2 linked regions of the Notamacropus eugenii genome follow. The protein of the gene in region 1 interacts with the protein of each later gene in a pairwise test. Links are inferred from orthologs where the notes say so. Each region holds a gene or a part of one and is shown on either strand. Other genes may lie near its edges.

The links. The genes of interacting proteins can lie anywhere in the genome.
Region 2: the proteins of LGALS8 (region 1) and APEH interact in binary tests that used the Homo sapiens proteins (3 or more experiments, as listed by UniProt). The two-hybrid records come from large-scale screens. The link is inferred for Notamacropus eugenii from reciprocal best matches to the Homo sapiens genes LGALS8 and APEH.

What each region holds. Positions count from the first base shown.
Region 1 is NC_092873.1:396,204,664-396,212,623, forward strand, and holds the start of LGALS8 (galectin-8), read left to right. Parts: upstream 1-4,948; 5' UTR 4,949-5,178; intron 5,179-7,361; 5' UTR 7,362-7,629; exon of another isoform or gene 7,630-7,747; intron 7,748-7,960.
Region 2 is NC_092872.1:6,242,317-6,250,172, reverse strand, and holds the start of APEH (acylamino-acid-releasing enzyme), read left to right. Parts: upstream 1-4,757; 5' UTR 4,758-4,844; coding exon 4,845-4,856; intron 4,857-4,940; coding exon 4,941-5,073; intron 5,074-6,252; coding exon 6,253-6,379; intron 6,380-7,473; coding exon 7,474-7,567; intron 7,568-7,856. UniProt on the Homo sapiens protein: This enzyme catalyzes the hydrolysis of the N-terminal peptide bond of an N-acetylated peptide to generate an N-acetylated amino acid and a peptide with a free N-terminus. It preferentially cleaves off Ac-Ala, Ac-Met and Ac-Ser.

The DNA.
Region 1 (7,960 bases):
AGAATGATTAAAAAATAAATTGATATTAAATTAAAATGTTAAAAAAAAAAAAAGAAATCCATCCAAACTCAAGGTCAAGGCCAATATAACTTGAGGAATATCCAGCCTGAATGAATACCTCAGTCCCCTAAAGTTCCATGTCAGTGTTCCTGTGGGCAGGGCCAAGCCTATGTTTTTCTGATAAATCACAGGATCATAGAATTGTTACTAGATCGTCTAGTCCAATCCCTTCCTTTTTACCGATGAAGAACTGGAGCCCTAGAGAGGTTAGGTAACTCACCCAAGATCCCACAGTAAATGGCAGAGCTGGGATTTGAACTGAATTTCTCCAAATCTGAATCCTACAGATCCAAATTCCACTGTTCTACCGTACCTCTTCACATTTCATCAGCCTAGCTTGTTATTATAAAAATATAATGAAAAGTAATGACTACCTTTTTTTTAAAGAAAGTTATATAATGTCACTACTTCTGACGGGCCTGGTTTTTAAATAGTCTAAGTCAATAACATTTTTATTATCTCTATAGATACACAGGTTCATAGGATCATAGATTTAGACCTGGAGAGAATCTCAGAGGTCACCTAATCCAACCAATTCATTTTACAAAATGGGAAAATGAGGCCTAAAAAAAATGAAGTGACTTCCCAAAGTCCATGTAGTAAACTAGTGGATGAATCTTTAAAAAATGTATTTTGGTTTTTTACACTGCCATAATTTCTCCCAGTATCCTCCTTCCCCTCCCAGAGAACTATTCCATATAAAAAATAGTATTTTTAAAGATAGGAAAAGAAAAAAGAAAAGGACAAAAATCAGAATAACTGATCAATGCGCTGAAAAAAATCTGAAAATACATGCAATGTGTAACACGTGTGCACCTCCCATCTCCTCAAAGAGGCATGTGTGATGGAAATGTCTTGTCCTGTCTCTTCTTTTGAGACATGGGTGTATTTTATAATTTTGCAAGATTCACTTTTGATTTTTTATATTATTGCTCTTTCCATTTATACTGTTGTATACAGCGTGTGTATTATTTCTTGACTCTAGAAGATGTATCTTAATTAGAACCCATGTCTTTTGACTCCCAACCTGTTTCTACGCTTCTTTTTAAAAAGAGAGACTCAGGAATTTCCTCACACACTCTAATAGGCTGAACTTGTGAGCCTAGTGTCAGAAAGTGGTGCAAATCACACCTTTCACTAGACCCAAATAGGTGGTACCCTCTTCTGGAGATCTCTGGAGTGACTGCCAGTGGTAGTGGCTACATAAGCAAGAATGTTGTCTCTCTGAACCTGGGCAGAACTCGACCAGACTTGTGAATGGAAGTGATTGGATAGGGTTCTGACAGCATGGTTACATTCCACTCTCCTTTTCTTCAGTGCATCATTTTTCTACCCTTGTCTAATAATGCTGGAATTGGAATTCCTGTGAGCAGGTCCAGGAGAAAGATTTGCCTCACAAAGGGAGAACAAGAAATTTTCCCTTGCAAATATGAGTGAAGAGTTATTTATCATCCTTACTCCTGCTGGTGTTTGGAAAGAGGCATTCATCCCTGTCACCTCATGTGATAAAATTAATGAGTAAACCCTAGAATAAAAAAAGATTAAGCTAAATTGTACACAGAGGCAATAGTCAATCTTTCTATGTAGCACAAATGTCACCATGAAACTTCTTAACCCACAACACTTGGGACTAAAGAAGCATCAATCATTGGTTGAGATTTTGTGGGATATATTTTCCCAGAGGACTGTTTATGTGCCTGTGTGATGACATCACTAGGCAGAGAGCTAGGAAGTGTGCTCTTACATCAGAGGTTTTAAAGGAGTCTGCTGGGTGAAGGGAATAGACCTGGAGAGATAAGTCAGCACAGACCACTGTGAAGCAGTATAAGCATCGTGGCTCTGGAAATAGGAGTTATAGCTGGACCATCATACTCCAGAACTGAGACAAAAACTTTCAGCCAGCTTTCCAGTACACTGCAAGAAATGGCTGAAAAGGATGGGATGGAGATAAGCATTTATATAGAGACTACTATGTGCTAGGCACTTTACAATTATCATCTCGTTTGATCTTCACAGGAACCCTGAGGTGTGGGTGCTGCTATTATCCTTATTTTACAGTTGAGGAAACTGAGACAAAAAGGTTGTCTCCCCAGTAATAAGTGAGTGAGATTGGATTTGAACCCAAGTCTTCCTAACTCCAGGTATCTCTCCCTCCTTCTATTTACCTAACTGCCTCAGGTCGATGACATTGTACTGTGAACATTTACCGTTGAAGCTATGAGATCAAATGAGATCATATATGTAAAACACTTTGCAAACCTTAAAATGCCACATAAATGTTAGCGATTATGGTGAAGACGATGGTGGTGGTGGTGGTGGTGGGTAGTGATGATGGTGATGATGTTGAGGATGATGAAGATGTGACTGTCTCCCACTATGCTAGGGAATCAGGAATTAAAGAATTAGACTGAAATTTCCCTGGACATATAGGATATTGCAGAAAAACAATTTATTGTTTGATTCCTTTCCTTGTTTGTCTTTTTTCACATCTCAGTTAAGAAACTAATAAAACTCTGTTTGCCTCACATCTACAAAATGAGCTGGAAAAGCAAATGATAAACCACTCTAATATCTTTGCTAAGAAAACTTTAAACGGAGTCACAAAAAGTTGGACATAACTGAAAAATGATGAAACAACAACTGCAAAATGCTTAATACTTGTGGACTCACTATCTTGTATTGTATGTAAATATTATTATGATGTAGTGAAAGAGAGAAATTTTTCACTGGATTGGGGTTTGACTTGTGTTCACTAGTCTGTTTACCCCAAACAGCCACATTAAATGTGGGAATAGCATGAGGTGCTACAAGCATACCCATACAAACATCATGCTCAATAGGAGATTTTTAAGACACCTTTTTAAAATTAATGATGACACCATTTTTCTATTCACAATTCACAGCACATTTGTAGAAACTTGTAATAGCTGCCTTTTATGAACCCAAATGTATATAGAATATCCCATAAGTCTTAGTAAAGTTTAGAGCTATTAAGCCTTAAAACTACACTAAGACTATTGGGACACCCTGCATTTACTAGCATCCCCCGTAACCAACTCTGATCTTATTCCTATATGCTGGACTACACACCTTTTATTACTAAAGACTTCATTGGTTTTCATTGGGGTAACTGAATTGCTTCCATTTGAATTGTCTTAGGAAGATTCTAAGGATCACCTGGCAGGATAAGGTACCAGACACTGAAGTCCTTGCTCAAGCTGAACTGCCAAGCATTCAAACCATGCTTCAACTCCAGTGGGCTGGCCACGTTGTTCAAATGCAAAATGTACGATTGCCAAAAAGACTATTTTATGGAGAACTCGCATAGGGCAAGCAATCACATGGTGATCAGAAGAAGCGATACAAGGACACTCAAGTTCTCTCTCAAAAAGTTTGAATTTGATTGTGCAACATGGGAGACACTGGCGCAGGACCTCTCAGCATGGCATGTCCACATCAGAAAGGGTGCTGTGCTCTTTGAGCAAAGCAGAATTGAGACAGCACAAAGGAAATGTAGGATGCATGAATTTGGGGTATCCACCCCAAATATTCACACAGACTATCTATGCCCAACCTGTGATAGAGCATTCTGAGCTTGTGCTGGTCTGATCAGCCACAGACAGACACACTGAATTTTCATGTTATTATGGTGATGTCATTGTGGTCTTCTTCGAAAACGAAGGACAACAACCAACCAACCAACCATTTTCTTTGAAGTTCAAGGTGCTGATTCCCCTGAACTAGATGAATGATATATGTGCTTGGTTAAAGGAATGATACATGTGCTTGATTAAAGTGATTGTTAACCCCTCAAAAGCTGCCTTTCCTTTTATGAATGCAGATCTAAGAACCTGTGATAGCAGGCCTCCCTGTGTGTGTTGGGGTGCTTACTGACACAGTCTTCAAGAATGGCTGTGGCTGAAAAAGTCATTACTCTGAGGCCAACCTAGAGATTCCTTCTGAGGTCCAAATCTAAATATATGATCCTATGATTTATTTAAAACTTTGGTGTTTTCCAGTGAGGTAGGTAGTACAAGTATTATTACTCCCATTTTGAAGATGAGGAAACCGAGGCACAGAAAAAATACGAAGTGACTACTAGGGATACATAGCTGGTCAGAGTCAGCCCAAATTCTAGGTATAACTGAAGAGGTTTGGGGGTGCTTGGGGGTACTGGGACCCAAAAATGCCAGGGTAGAGTTCCCTGGAATGAATTCACATGCTCAAGCCGTCTTTTAGTCAAGAGGCAGTTTATCATAGAATAACAGAAGCCAATAGAAGAGGGCAAGAGTCCTTATAGAACCTACAAGAGACTGAGGATAGTGTTGGGTTTTATATGGAAAAGGGGCATGGAGAAGGAATGCCAGGGTAGATAATTTAAGGGTCCAGGTGTCCTTGGGAATTATGGATGGGAAAGTGTAGGGAGTATGCCAGACATTGAAGGAGAAAAGAAAGTTGTGTTTTTTGTTGTTTTTGTTGAGTTGCCAGAGGCATGGACCTTGGGCAAGCACCACAGACAAGATCCTTGGGCAGGCACCCTGGGAAAGAGTCCTTGGATCAGTATCCCTGTCTCTGTCTTAGTAAAGGAATTAAAGAGGGAGGCATGCAACAAGGGAAAATTTTCTCACAAAAGGAGTGGGGTGGAGCTGGGTTACTTTCAGAGAAGTGGTTTTAGAGCTTTTGCGGGTCCACATCCCACCTCCCCATCATAACTCTAAGCCAAATGTTTTGTTGGGGTTTTTTTTAATTGCATCATGCTCTCAAGGACATATCTTCATTCTTCTGGTATCGTCTAATGTAGGTAATTCTCAAGATCTTGTCCAGCCCTGAGATTCTCTGATTCTATGACATATAGCCCAAGGTTCTAGAACTTCGTGTCCTGAACGTCACTATAGGACTCAAGGGGAACATAAGTGGTATGTTTTCCACACCAAAGTCCAAGAAGGACAGAGTGAGGAGCAAAAGAAGTTTGGAGAAAGATCTCTTCTTAAGGATTCTTCTCTGGTGGCATCAGATTTGTAGAGATGATAGGATGTGTTGAACCTGACCTAAGAAAGGTGGATAGAATGAAAGAGATTGAGTCTGGCCAGACTGGAGAGGATTAATCCAGAGAAGCAGGTAAGATCAGTGAAATTTCCAAGAAAGGAAAAAAGAAATAAGAAATGTTAAAGGTTATGGTTTAACAAGTAAACTTGAACAAGGAAGGAAGAGACAGAGACAAAGACAGAGAGAGAGAGAGAGAGAGAGAGAGAGAGAGAGAGAGAGAGAGAGAGAGAGAGAAACTAAAAAAAGAAAGGCAAAAAAGTGATTCTAGTCTGTGGCAATGTTTCCTTCCTTTAAACTCTTGTGAGTTATTTTCAGTGGAATTCATTTGACAATCACACGTAGTCTTGCAACATCCCTTCTATTAACTGAACTACTCAAATCTTTCACCATCATGTGACTAGTCACATGCTGGTGCCTTGTTTCCCGCCTAAAGGGTAGGTGCCCCTGGAACACAGGCATTGCCTCTCTCTGGAGCCTCAGAGCACCTAGCACATAAGAAGTAATCAATACATATATGCAATTTGAAAGGGGAATGAGAAAGTAAAGCAAGGTCCAGGGCCCAGTGGGGAACAAGATGTGCCAGTGAGGAATATTTTGTAGCACTTATTCTCAGGAAGGACTAAAGTACAAATTCGGGGCTAGCTTGTCTGCCTGATCACTTGATTCAATCCTATGTTCCTACCTCTGAAGTCCTAAAATCATAGATCCTGAGCTGGAAAAAACTTTAGACATCTGCAAGTTCAACCCCTTCATTTCACGGATGAGAAAACTGAGACTCAGAGAGATTAAGTGACATCTGGCTCGTTTATTTTATCTAATATATGTCTGGGTCTGGATTGAATCTGGGTCTTTTGGACTGCAAGTCTGCCACTATCCACTAGACAACCGTTCCCCTCAAGTTACCTCTTTTAAGCTACCACCATCTCCAGAAAGATTTCCCTTTCCTAATTATCTAGGCAAAAATGAGCTGTTCCTCTTTGCACTTTTATCTGGATTTTACTTTCTCAGAGTCATTGTTTATTTAAACTACCCTCCTTCCTTCCCGTTTCCTTCCCTCCTTCCCCGCCCCCCATTTAGATCTTAAGCCCCTTGAGAATAGTATTTGTCATAGCTATCTTTGTGATTCCAGCTTCTAGCAGAGGGTGCTCTTCTTTCAGTCTCCCCCTCCATGCCAGACAAGCTCTTTGTCTGGCTCACTCTCTCCCCACTCCCTCCTCCGGCTGTGGCATTTTCAGCAGTGACTTTGCAGTGTTCTGGAGTCTCATTCCACTGGTGTCCTGAAGTTCATTGTGTCTCATTTTCTTGCATTCCTTCTCCAAACTTGAGTTTTTGTGCTTGCTCGCTGGCCGTAAGCAATGGATGTAGCAGTCAGTTGACATTTTTAAAGTTTCCCTTATGTGCCACGCACTGGGTTAAGCAATTGGGATACAAAGATAGGCAAATAAAAAATAAAAGAAAGCCATATAGTAATTAAGAAAATGTTAATAAGTAACCTTGATAAATAATTAAAATGTAGCAATTAAAAGCTCATTGATGAACCTGGGGAGAATAGTGGACAGTTAGATTGTGAGGGACTGAGGAATTAGTTGGGAAGGTTCCAATTTCAATCCAATGTTTTTCCAGTATGCAGTGCTGCCTCTCATAGCTATCTCTGGCTAGGTTCCTTTTAAGCAAAATAATTAGCCTCTGTAAACCTGATTAAAAGTATATTTTTTTTCCTTTTAGAGACTTCACTGTATTTTATCTTACAGCACAGGAGGGTAAGAGCAGTTAATACAATGTCAAATAATGGAAGAATATAAATTTAAAATTTGTGAATTACGATTTCTTTTTCTGCTCTAATGACAGAGTCCTGAGGGCCATTTCAGAAAAAAGCAAACAAAACCAAACTATAAAGACAGACAGACACACAGACAGACCATTCATTGCTAAGGCGTCAGATCACTGGTCCCCATCAGGTTAAGATGGCTAAGCAAAGAGAATATGACCAGAGCTGATTGGCTGGTGCTGTCATGATCAAAGGGCCGCTGTCCTGGGATTCTTGGGAATTCAGTGAGCTAGTTAGTGCCAGGATGCTAGAGAAGAAGGGACAAGTTACTTATTATTTACTCTATCTCCCTTCCACCCCACCTGCCTGCCTCTAGTTAGAAAGCAAACCTTATACAGTAGCAGATTTGCTTATTATTACTGTTATGACTTTTTAATACTATGTTTCTGCTTCTCCGCGAATGTGCCTTTGCTCATTTTGAAACTAGAACCGGCCGGACTTCCAGGAAGCTTGGGCCGTCAGGTCCGTTCCCCAGCTCAGCGGAGTGCGAAAGTAGAAAAGTGGCAGACTGCATACAGACTCTCTTAACTCTGCTTCTGGGCGATGACGTCACTGTGCAGGGACGCGAGAACCAGGAACTGGAAGCTGACTCATTTTTGCTCTCCTTTGCCACCCGGACACAACTAAGTAATACCTTCAGACCTGCTGGAAAAACAAGCTTCTGCTGGAATCTTCTGGAGGGTGGAGGGCGCAGGGTAAGTAAGACAAGAAATGTATGTTCCTGAGCCATGATGACTGTGCTGTGGCTGTGAGAGAGCTGGGAGAATTAGTACAGGACTAGATCTGTGGACAGCGCCCTCTGACACTGTCGAGGTAGGATAATGAAAAGCTTTAGAAAGACGACGTCCCCTAATTCACTATTTATTTGTTTGGATCTGGCTGCTACTGCTGGAGAGTTTTCCCTGTGCCAGGTCTGGTAACAAGTTACTTTGCAACGGGGAGGGGGGGGTAACTTGAAATGCAACTCTCCCTAAATTTCTTGCCTCTGTTAAGAGGGAAGATTTCCAGCATGTAGTGTTCCCCACA
Region 2 (7,856 bases), on another chromosome or scaffold:
CTCCTTCCTTTCCCTCACCCCACATAGTCAATCAAGTTGCCAAATCTTATCATTTCCAACCTCCTTGTATCCATTCCCTTCTCTCCAATCACACAACCACTCACCTACTTCAGGTCTTCATCACCTCTCACCTGGACTATTAAAATAGCCTCCTAAGTAACCTCCCCATCCCAAGTCTCTTCCTATTTCAGTCCATCATCCACACAGCTGCCAACATGATTTTCCTAAAGCTCAGGGGTGATCGTGTCATTCCCCTACTCAATAAACTCTAATGTCTCCCTGTTACCTATAGGATCAAATCAAAACTCTTCTGTTTGGCATTTAAACCCTTTCACCACCTGGATTCATCCTCTCTCTTTAGTTTTATCACTCCCCTTCACACTTACTACCCTCCGGCTAAACTGTTCATCTTACAGTTACTCAGATGTGCCAGCTAACTCCATGTCTTTGAACTGGCTGTCCCTCATATCTGAAATGTAATCCCTGCCCAGCTAGGTGGGGCAGTGGATAGTGCACTGGACTTGGTGGAGTCAGGAAGTCCAGAGTTCAAATGTAGCCTCAGACACTTAACAGCTGTGGGAACTTGAGCAAGTTACTTAAAACTCTCTGCCTTAGTTTCCTCCAATGTAAAATGAGTTTAGTAGCAACCACCTCCCAGGGTTGTTGTGAGGATCAAATGAGATAGTGCCTGGTCCACAGTAGATGCTGTTTAAATGTTAGCTATTTATTATTATTACCTTTGATCCTTAGAATCCCTTGTTTCTTCCAGGCTCAGCTCGAGCCACCTTCTCCTGAAGGCTCCAAACGAAGCCTTTCCTGATCCCCCTGGTTACTAATGCCTTCCTCCCAATATTTTCTTGTATCTATCATGCTTCTGTTTTGCATATTCCTATCTATATGTATGTTTGTATCCATTCACTAGATTGTAAGCTCCTCAAGGACTGATTCACTCTTACCTTTATATTCCCAGCACCTACCATAGTATTCATGGTGCAACCAAGGTTGCAAACATAAGCAATCATGTTATGGCTTGGTCTGTTTATTGATCCCTCAGGCACTGGAAAGCTCTGGGTCACTGAGACCTCAACAGATACCTTAGAAAACTGGCTGAATGGGTTCAGTAATTTGCCTTGGTAAACTTGTGATGTCTTATCTAGAAGACCCAGGAGGTCTGATCTGTATCTGCCTAAGATGTAGCTCCATGTAGCCCCTACCCCCACCTGATCTTTGACTAATGAACTGATTAATCATTAATCCCCCTGGAAGGGGGGGGGGGAGGGCTTTGTCCTTGGCCCTACCATTCCACACTTTTATCAACTACTTAGATAATGGCATATCTGGCATTCTTATGAAATCATGGAAGAAATGAAGCTGAGTAGACTAACTCTATATATTAGACAACAGTTTCAAAATCTATTACGTGTTTCTGAATTTAAGGAAGAGAAACACAGCTCATAGTCCCAGGGAATTTACCTTTTTTAAGTTATTAAAAGAAGATCTCTTAACAGTTTGAGATGCAGCCACCTTAGACCCTTTCTTTATAATCCCTAACATATCAGAGCAAGGATAAGCTTTCCTAGGCCTAGCAGTGCCTTGCCCATAGAAGACACTTAACAAACGTTCCTTGAATTCATTAACTTGAATCGCTGAACTGACCCGAGTGGCTCCTAAATATTGGGGCATATGCTATTTTATGCTCAGGAGCAAACAAAAGGAGCTGGTCTCCTTTACACTGCACCAGCACAGGGTAAACAGGCTCAGGAACATTGGGAATGCCCATCAGGAGTAAGGGACTGGGGGAATTCTTTTGGGGCTTAGTGGTTGCACCTATCCATTCCTGGGATATCCCCTGGGAGAAGAGGTCTAGACTACTTTAGTAAATGAAAAAATCTCAGTAGGCTGGAGCAGTGAGCAAATCCAAAAGAGACAGAACATTTCATAGGAATTAATGTAAAGTTCTATATTTAGGTTCAAAAAAATCAACTATACAGGTCCAGAATGGGGAAGAAATGTCTAGACTGTTACACATGAAAAGACCCTAGAATTTTTCAAGAACTCTAAGGACCATGTGAATCAATAGCTAGAAAAAGAGTTAATAGTTACATATTTCATAGATTATAGAGCCATAAATCTGGAAATGGAAGGGACTTTGGAGGCCAACCCCATCAATTACAGATGATGAAACCAAGACCCCGGGGAGGTTCACCTACTCACCCAAAGTCACACAAGTGCAATGTCAGATGCTGGGAATACAAAGAAAGGCAAAACCAGTTCCTTCAGGCCATACAAAGGAAGGAGGCAGTGTGTCCAATTCCAAAATGGGCCAGTATGGCTAGATTGTAGACCTCGAGGAAGTAAGTCAATACTGAAAAGCTAGAAGGGGGCAAGGTTATGAAGAGTTTCAGGGGTCCAACAAAAGACATCTGATCCTGAGGTTAATAAGGAGCTAGTGAAATTTATTTAATAGGGAGGTGACACAGGAAGAACTCCATTTTGGAAAATCATTTTAACAGCTGAGTGGAGGATGGATCAGTCTGGGGAAAGACTTGAGGAAGGAAAATCCATTAAAAGGCTATTTCAGTAATCCAGAAAAGAGGTGATGAGAGTCAGAAGTAGGGTAGTAGCTGTAGGAATGCAGAGACAAGTGTGTTGTAAAGGTAGAAATGACAAGATTTGCCCACTGAATGGATAGGGGAGATGGGTATGAGCAGGGAGGCCAGGTTGATGTCAAAGTTGCAAACATGGGTGACCAGGAAGATGGTGATACCCTTGACAATAACAGGGCATATTTAAGGGCATTTGTAATGAGTTCTGTTTGGGAAATATTGAGTTTGAGATGTGTATTAGACATCCAATTTGAAATGTCCAGTAGACGGTTGGTGATGTGTTTTGGAGCTCAGCAGATAAATGAGGGTTGATATATAGATCCAGGAATCATCTGCATACAGATGATAATTGAACTTTGGGGAGCTAATGAGATAGTAGAAAGACAAAGAAGAAGAACAGAGCCTATGACAGCATTTAGCACAGGGCCCCAGTGCTTGGCACAATGGCTCATTTTGGGTCTCAGGAAATCTTTATATTCCCTTATTGGGAACTGCAAAGAGCTTTTGTTTATGTGGGTTACATCTACCAATATTTACTGTATTAGGAATTAAAACTAATCATTTAAAACATTTTCTTATTAATTCATTTAAAATAACAATAATGAACCCACCATATGTTAACAAAAATAACATTTTTTATGAAAAATAACCATAATTTCCAAAACAAAAACAAATTTAGTGAGAAGAGTAGTATTATTTTACTCATTTGTAAATCTCTTTAACTTCTAGCTTAATAGAAGACAAATGGATTCTCAAATCTGCTTTTGCATTCCATCTGTTATGATATATTGTTTTAAAGTATATGAAGAAAATCCAGCTTTACAAAAATGTGAAGTTGGATAAGAGGAGTATTTTAATAGCCTTTCCACATCGTTGTGGATATCTTCTCTGATGCTATGCCAAAACTCAACAGGTGCTAGTTTCTTAAAGGTTAGTTGCAAAGGAAACTGTATCAGTGAACTTTTCATGCTCTGTTACATTAAAACCCAATGTATCTTGCACTTCAAATGGATATTTTACTCGCGTGATTTTATAGCGTGGAAATTTGGAAATTATTGCTCCATTAAATCATGCAGAGCTTCCAAACGTTGACACATTTCATTACATAATATCTCCCCAAAACCACATTTGTTAATATCATTACGCCCCTCGTCTGAAAAGCCACAAAATCCCTAAGTCATCACTAAGAACGGTTATCTAAGTTATCTAAGGCCTGAGTCCTCCTCTGTAGGACCAGGACAGAGTCCACTCCAAGGTTAAGATCTTATGTCCTGGGAAGGGCCTGGAGCTCACCCAAAGATAAAAGCATGGAACTTTCCAAGTACGGAAGGAGTTTGCCACCTCGCTCTGAGATGATTATTTCCTAATATAATGATATGAAAATAAGGAGATGAAGTCCTTTCTCCGCCTCCTAGCTGCCCTGGCTTCCTTCTCCTCTCAGGCGAAGCTGCCCCTTTTGCAGACAGCCTTTCCCGGTTCTGTTCGATGAGGTGCTGGCCCATTTTATCCTGTCTCCGTCTCATTGTACGTAGCTGCCCGTGCCTTGCCTCTGCCGCTAGACTGATCCTCAGGAGAGCCGGGTTTCGCCTTCATTGGCGTCTCCTGTGCCTAGCTCGGAGCGCTCAGACCAGTACTGGCGGGCCGGAGGGGCTGAGGCTGCTGAGAAGACGCGTCATCCCCAGTTCTGGGAGAGGACGGGACCCTCAGGGGGGGCTGTCTGGGTTTGGACTGAACTGGATTGGAGGGAGCTAGGGCTGTACACAGTCACCAGCCTCACTCTTCCTCCGGAGCCACCTGGGTCCGGTGGCAGGATACAGAACAGGACGACTGGATCTTTACACACCGACAGGCCACGCCAGCCCCCTGAACGTCCAGGGCCCGGACAAACCGAAGGGGCGGGCCTGGCTGGAGGAAAGGTGCCCACCAACCAGAAGAGCCTTGTCCCTGAAGCCCCGCCCCTCAGGAGAGGGCCAGAGAGCAGTGGGCGTGTCTTTTGGTGGGGCGGGGCCTGGCCGTACGGAGAGCGGCGGAGATTGGTGAGAAAGCAGTCCGACTCCGCCTTCCCTGAGCCGCACCCACTCCGGGCCCACCTCCCCCTCCTATTGGGGCGCCCCGCGGAGGGGGCGGGTCCTAGCCGAGCCCTTTGCCCTAGGGCGCTGCGGAAATGCGCGCCCCAGCTCCCCGGGCACTTCCGGGCCGCGCAGCGTCCCCGCCCCCGGACGCTCGGGAGACGCCTCCATGGAGCGACAGGTACGGGCTCGGCGCCCTTCAGCTCCGGTTCGGCTGCCTCCCGCTCTGCTGCCGCGGCCTGACCCGTGTGTTCCCCCCGCGCAGGTGCTGACGAGCGAGCCGGACGAGGCCGCGGCGCTGTACCGCGCGCTGAGCCGCCACCCCGCGCTGGTCTCCGCCGGCCTGGGTGCCGAGATCACCAGCCAGTACGGTGGCAAGTACCGCACGGTGCACACAGGTGCCGCACGGGGAGGGGCAGGGAGGCCCCGAGGGGCCTGCGGGCACGTGGACGGCGCGCGATCCGGGGATCCAGGGACCCAAGGGTGCGGGGCGGGCGTGACGGCCGCGGAGAGGAAGGCGGCTGGGGGGTGTGGCCCCGGGGGACGCGGAAAACCGAGGCCGGAGATGGGGCTGGGGGTCACGGCCGTGGCGGGGCCCGGAGATCGGGCTGGGGGTCACGGCCGTGGCGGGGCCGGAGGCCGTGGGCGGGGCCGGGAGATCGGGCTGGGGGTCACGGCCGTGGCGGGGCCCGGAGATGGGGCTGGGGGTCACGGCCGTGGCGGGGCCCGGAGATCGGGCTGGGGGTCACGGCCGTGGCGGGGCCGGAGGCCGTGGGCGGGGCCGGGAGATCGGGCTGGGGGTCACGGCCGTGGCGGGGCCCGGAGATGGGGCTGGGGGTCACGGCCGTGGCGGGGCCCGGAGATCGGGCTGGGGGTCACGGCCGTGGCGGGCCCGGAGATGGGGCTGGGGGTCACGGCCGTGGCGGGGCCGGAGGCCGTGGGCGGGGCCGGGAGATCGGGCTGGGGGTCACGGCCGAGGTGGGGCCCGGAGATCGGGCTGGGGGTCACGGCCGTGGCGGGGCCCGGAGATCGGGCTGGGGGGGCTGGGGGTCACGGCTGAGGTGGGGCCCGGAGAGCGGGCTGGGGGTCACGGCCGTGGCGGGCCCGGAGATCGGGCTGGGGGTCACGGCCGAGGTGGGGCCCGGAGATCGGGCTGGGGGTCACGGCCGTGGCGGGGCCCGGAGATCGGGCTGGGGGTCACGGCCGTGGCGGGGCCCGGAGATCGGGCTGGGGGTCACGGCCGTGGCGGGCCCGGAGATCGGGCTGGGGGTCACGGCCGAGGTGGGGCCCGGAGATCGGGCTGGGGGTCACGGCCGTGGGCGGTGCCCGGGATGACCTCGTGAGCTAGGAGGACTTCCAGCCAGTTCTCCCACGTTTGGACTTGTCCGTAAAGTGGCGGCGTTGTACTGGCTGAACCTCCACGTTCTCCTTCAGCTTTAACGCTCGCGTTCAATGGCCTGGTGGCCTCTTCGGCAGGATGACGCTGCGGGGACTGGGGGGGAAAGGGCTTGGGCTGGGAGGCGGGGATGAAAAACCAGGCCGAACTGGGGCTGCAGAGTCCGGGCTTCCCCTTACAGAATGGACCCAGCGAGACCTGGATCGGATGGAGAGTATCCGGTTCTGCCGCCAGTATCTCGTGTTCCACGATGGTGGCTCTGTGGTGTTTTCTGGACCTGCGGGCAACAGCATTGAAACCAAGGGGGAGTAAGTGTTAGGGGAATAGCCCCGGTACCTCCAGCTGCAGGGATGCTTGTTCAGAGGCTCCTAATCCTACTTCTCCCAAGCCTTCGTTTCTGGGCTGCATCCATGGGATATGTCACAGTAGCCACTGGATAAGCTGGCTGATTCTACTTTCAGTATTTCCTATGGTAGGACCTGATGCATCTCAGTTTTATTGACTAAATATGTCCAACTACTTGCAGGTCTTTCTATGGGAGGTAAGGCTCCCCTCCCAGAGTTTACAGTTTATAAACTGCCACCAGGTCTAGAGAGACTCTGTGTGTCTCTCTAAAGAGAGACAGAATTTCAAAAGATAAAAGAATTAAAGAAAAATTAATGCTAAACTGTTCAGCACTGACTTTTTCCTGTTCTTTACATTTTTCCAGACCTCTCCTCATCTCCAAGAGTCTCGAAGTCATTCAAAACTGCCATTCACAAACTTTTCTGTCTCCAAGGCGCTTCCCTTCCGTCCTTGCCTTCCCTTTCTAAAACTCCTTCACACTGACTGAACTGGTTTTTGCCTTCATGGGGACCTCTAGGCCTCAACTCCTCCCTGACCTCCCATCTTGAATCCTAGGATCAAAAATATCATTGCCTTTTTTATTAGCACCCAAAACTTCATGATTCTCTTGCCTTCTTACTAATCAGTTAAGTGGTATATAAATTATAAATGTGCTAACAGTTCAGAGAAGGGAGGTAGCCTTTGATACCCAAGTAGTTGAAGGAGTTGGGATTTGAACCAAGTCTTGAAGGTTGGGTTGGATTTCAATTTTTGTTTGAGTTTATGGCTCATCGTGTTTTATCTGTGAGAAGTCCCAGCCCAACAAGAAGTTACTTTTTTAAAATCAAATGTTATTATTTTAATGAACAGAAATCTATTTTATCTCCCTCTCACTTTTCACCCCACTGAAAAAGAAAAAAAGAAAAAACAAATTCCTTGCAGCAAATAAGTATAGTCAAACAAAATTCAGGAAGAATTATTTTTTGATAAGAATTAATCCTGTGAGCTGGCAACCGCCCAACAGACAGAACTAGCTTTGGGCAGGGTCAGGAATCATCTGGTGGTGATGTTCCCACAGGCTGCTGAGCAGGGATTCCCCCTCAGGAGCACTGAAGGCTGTGCTGCGAAAGACTGGGAGTTCAAAGACTGGGGAAGAGAAACAGTTCCTGGAGGCAAGTCTTGTCATAGGAGCTTGGTTACACTGGGTGTGGTTCTGTAGGGCCTGTTGGCAGGACGTGGCTTTATCTTTGACAAGGTGGAGGGTTCTCTTTGAGGGCCAGAGTGAGGGAAAATCTAATAGATAAGACATGTAAGGGCAGGAGGTGGTCCTGGGGATCTTCCCTTTTTCATAGAAAATGACTAAGCCAGGCAAAAAAACCAAACCAAACAACCGTAAAACCAGAGAGTGATTTTGCTGCTTTTGGAGAGGAAATGGACTGATAGATGTAGTAGATGGAGGAG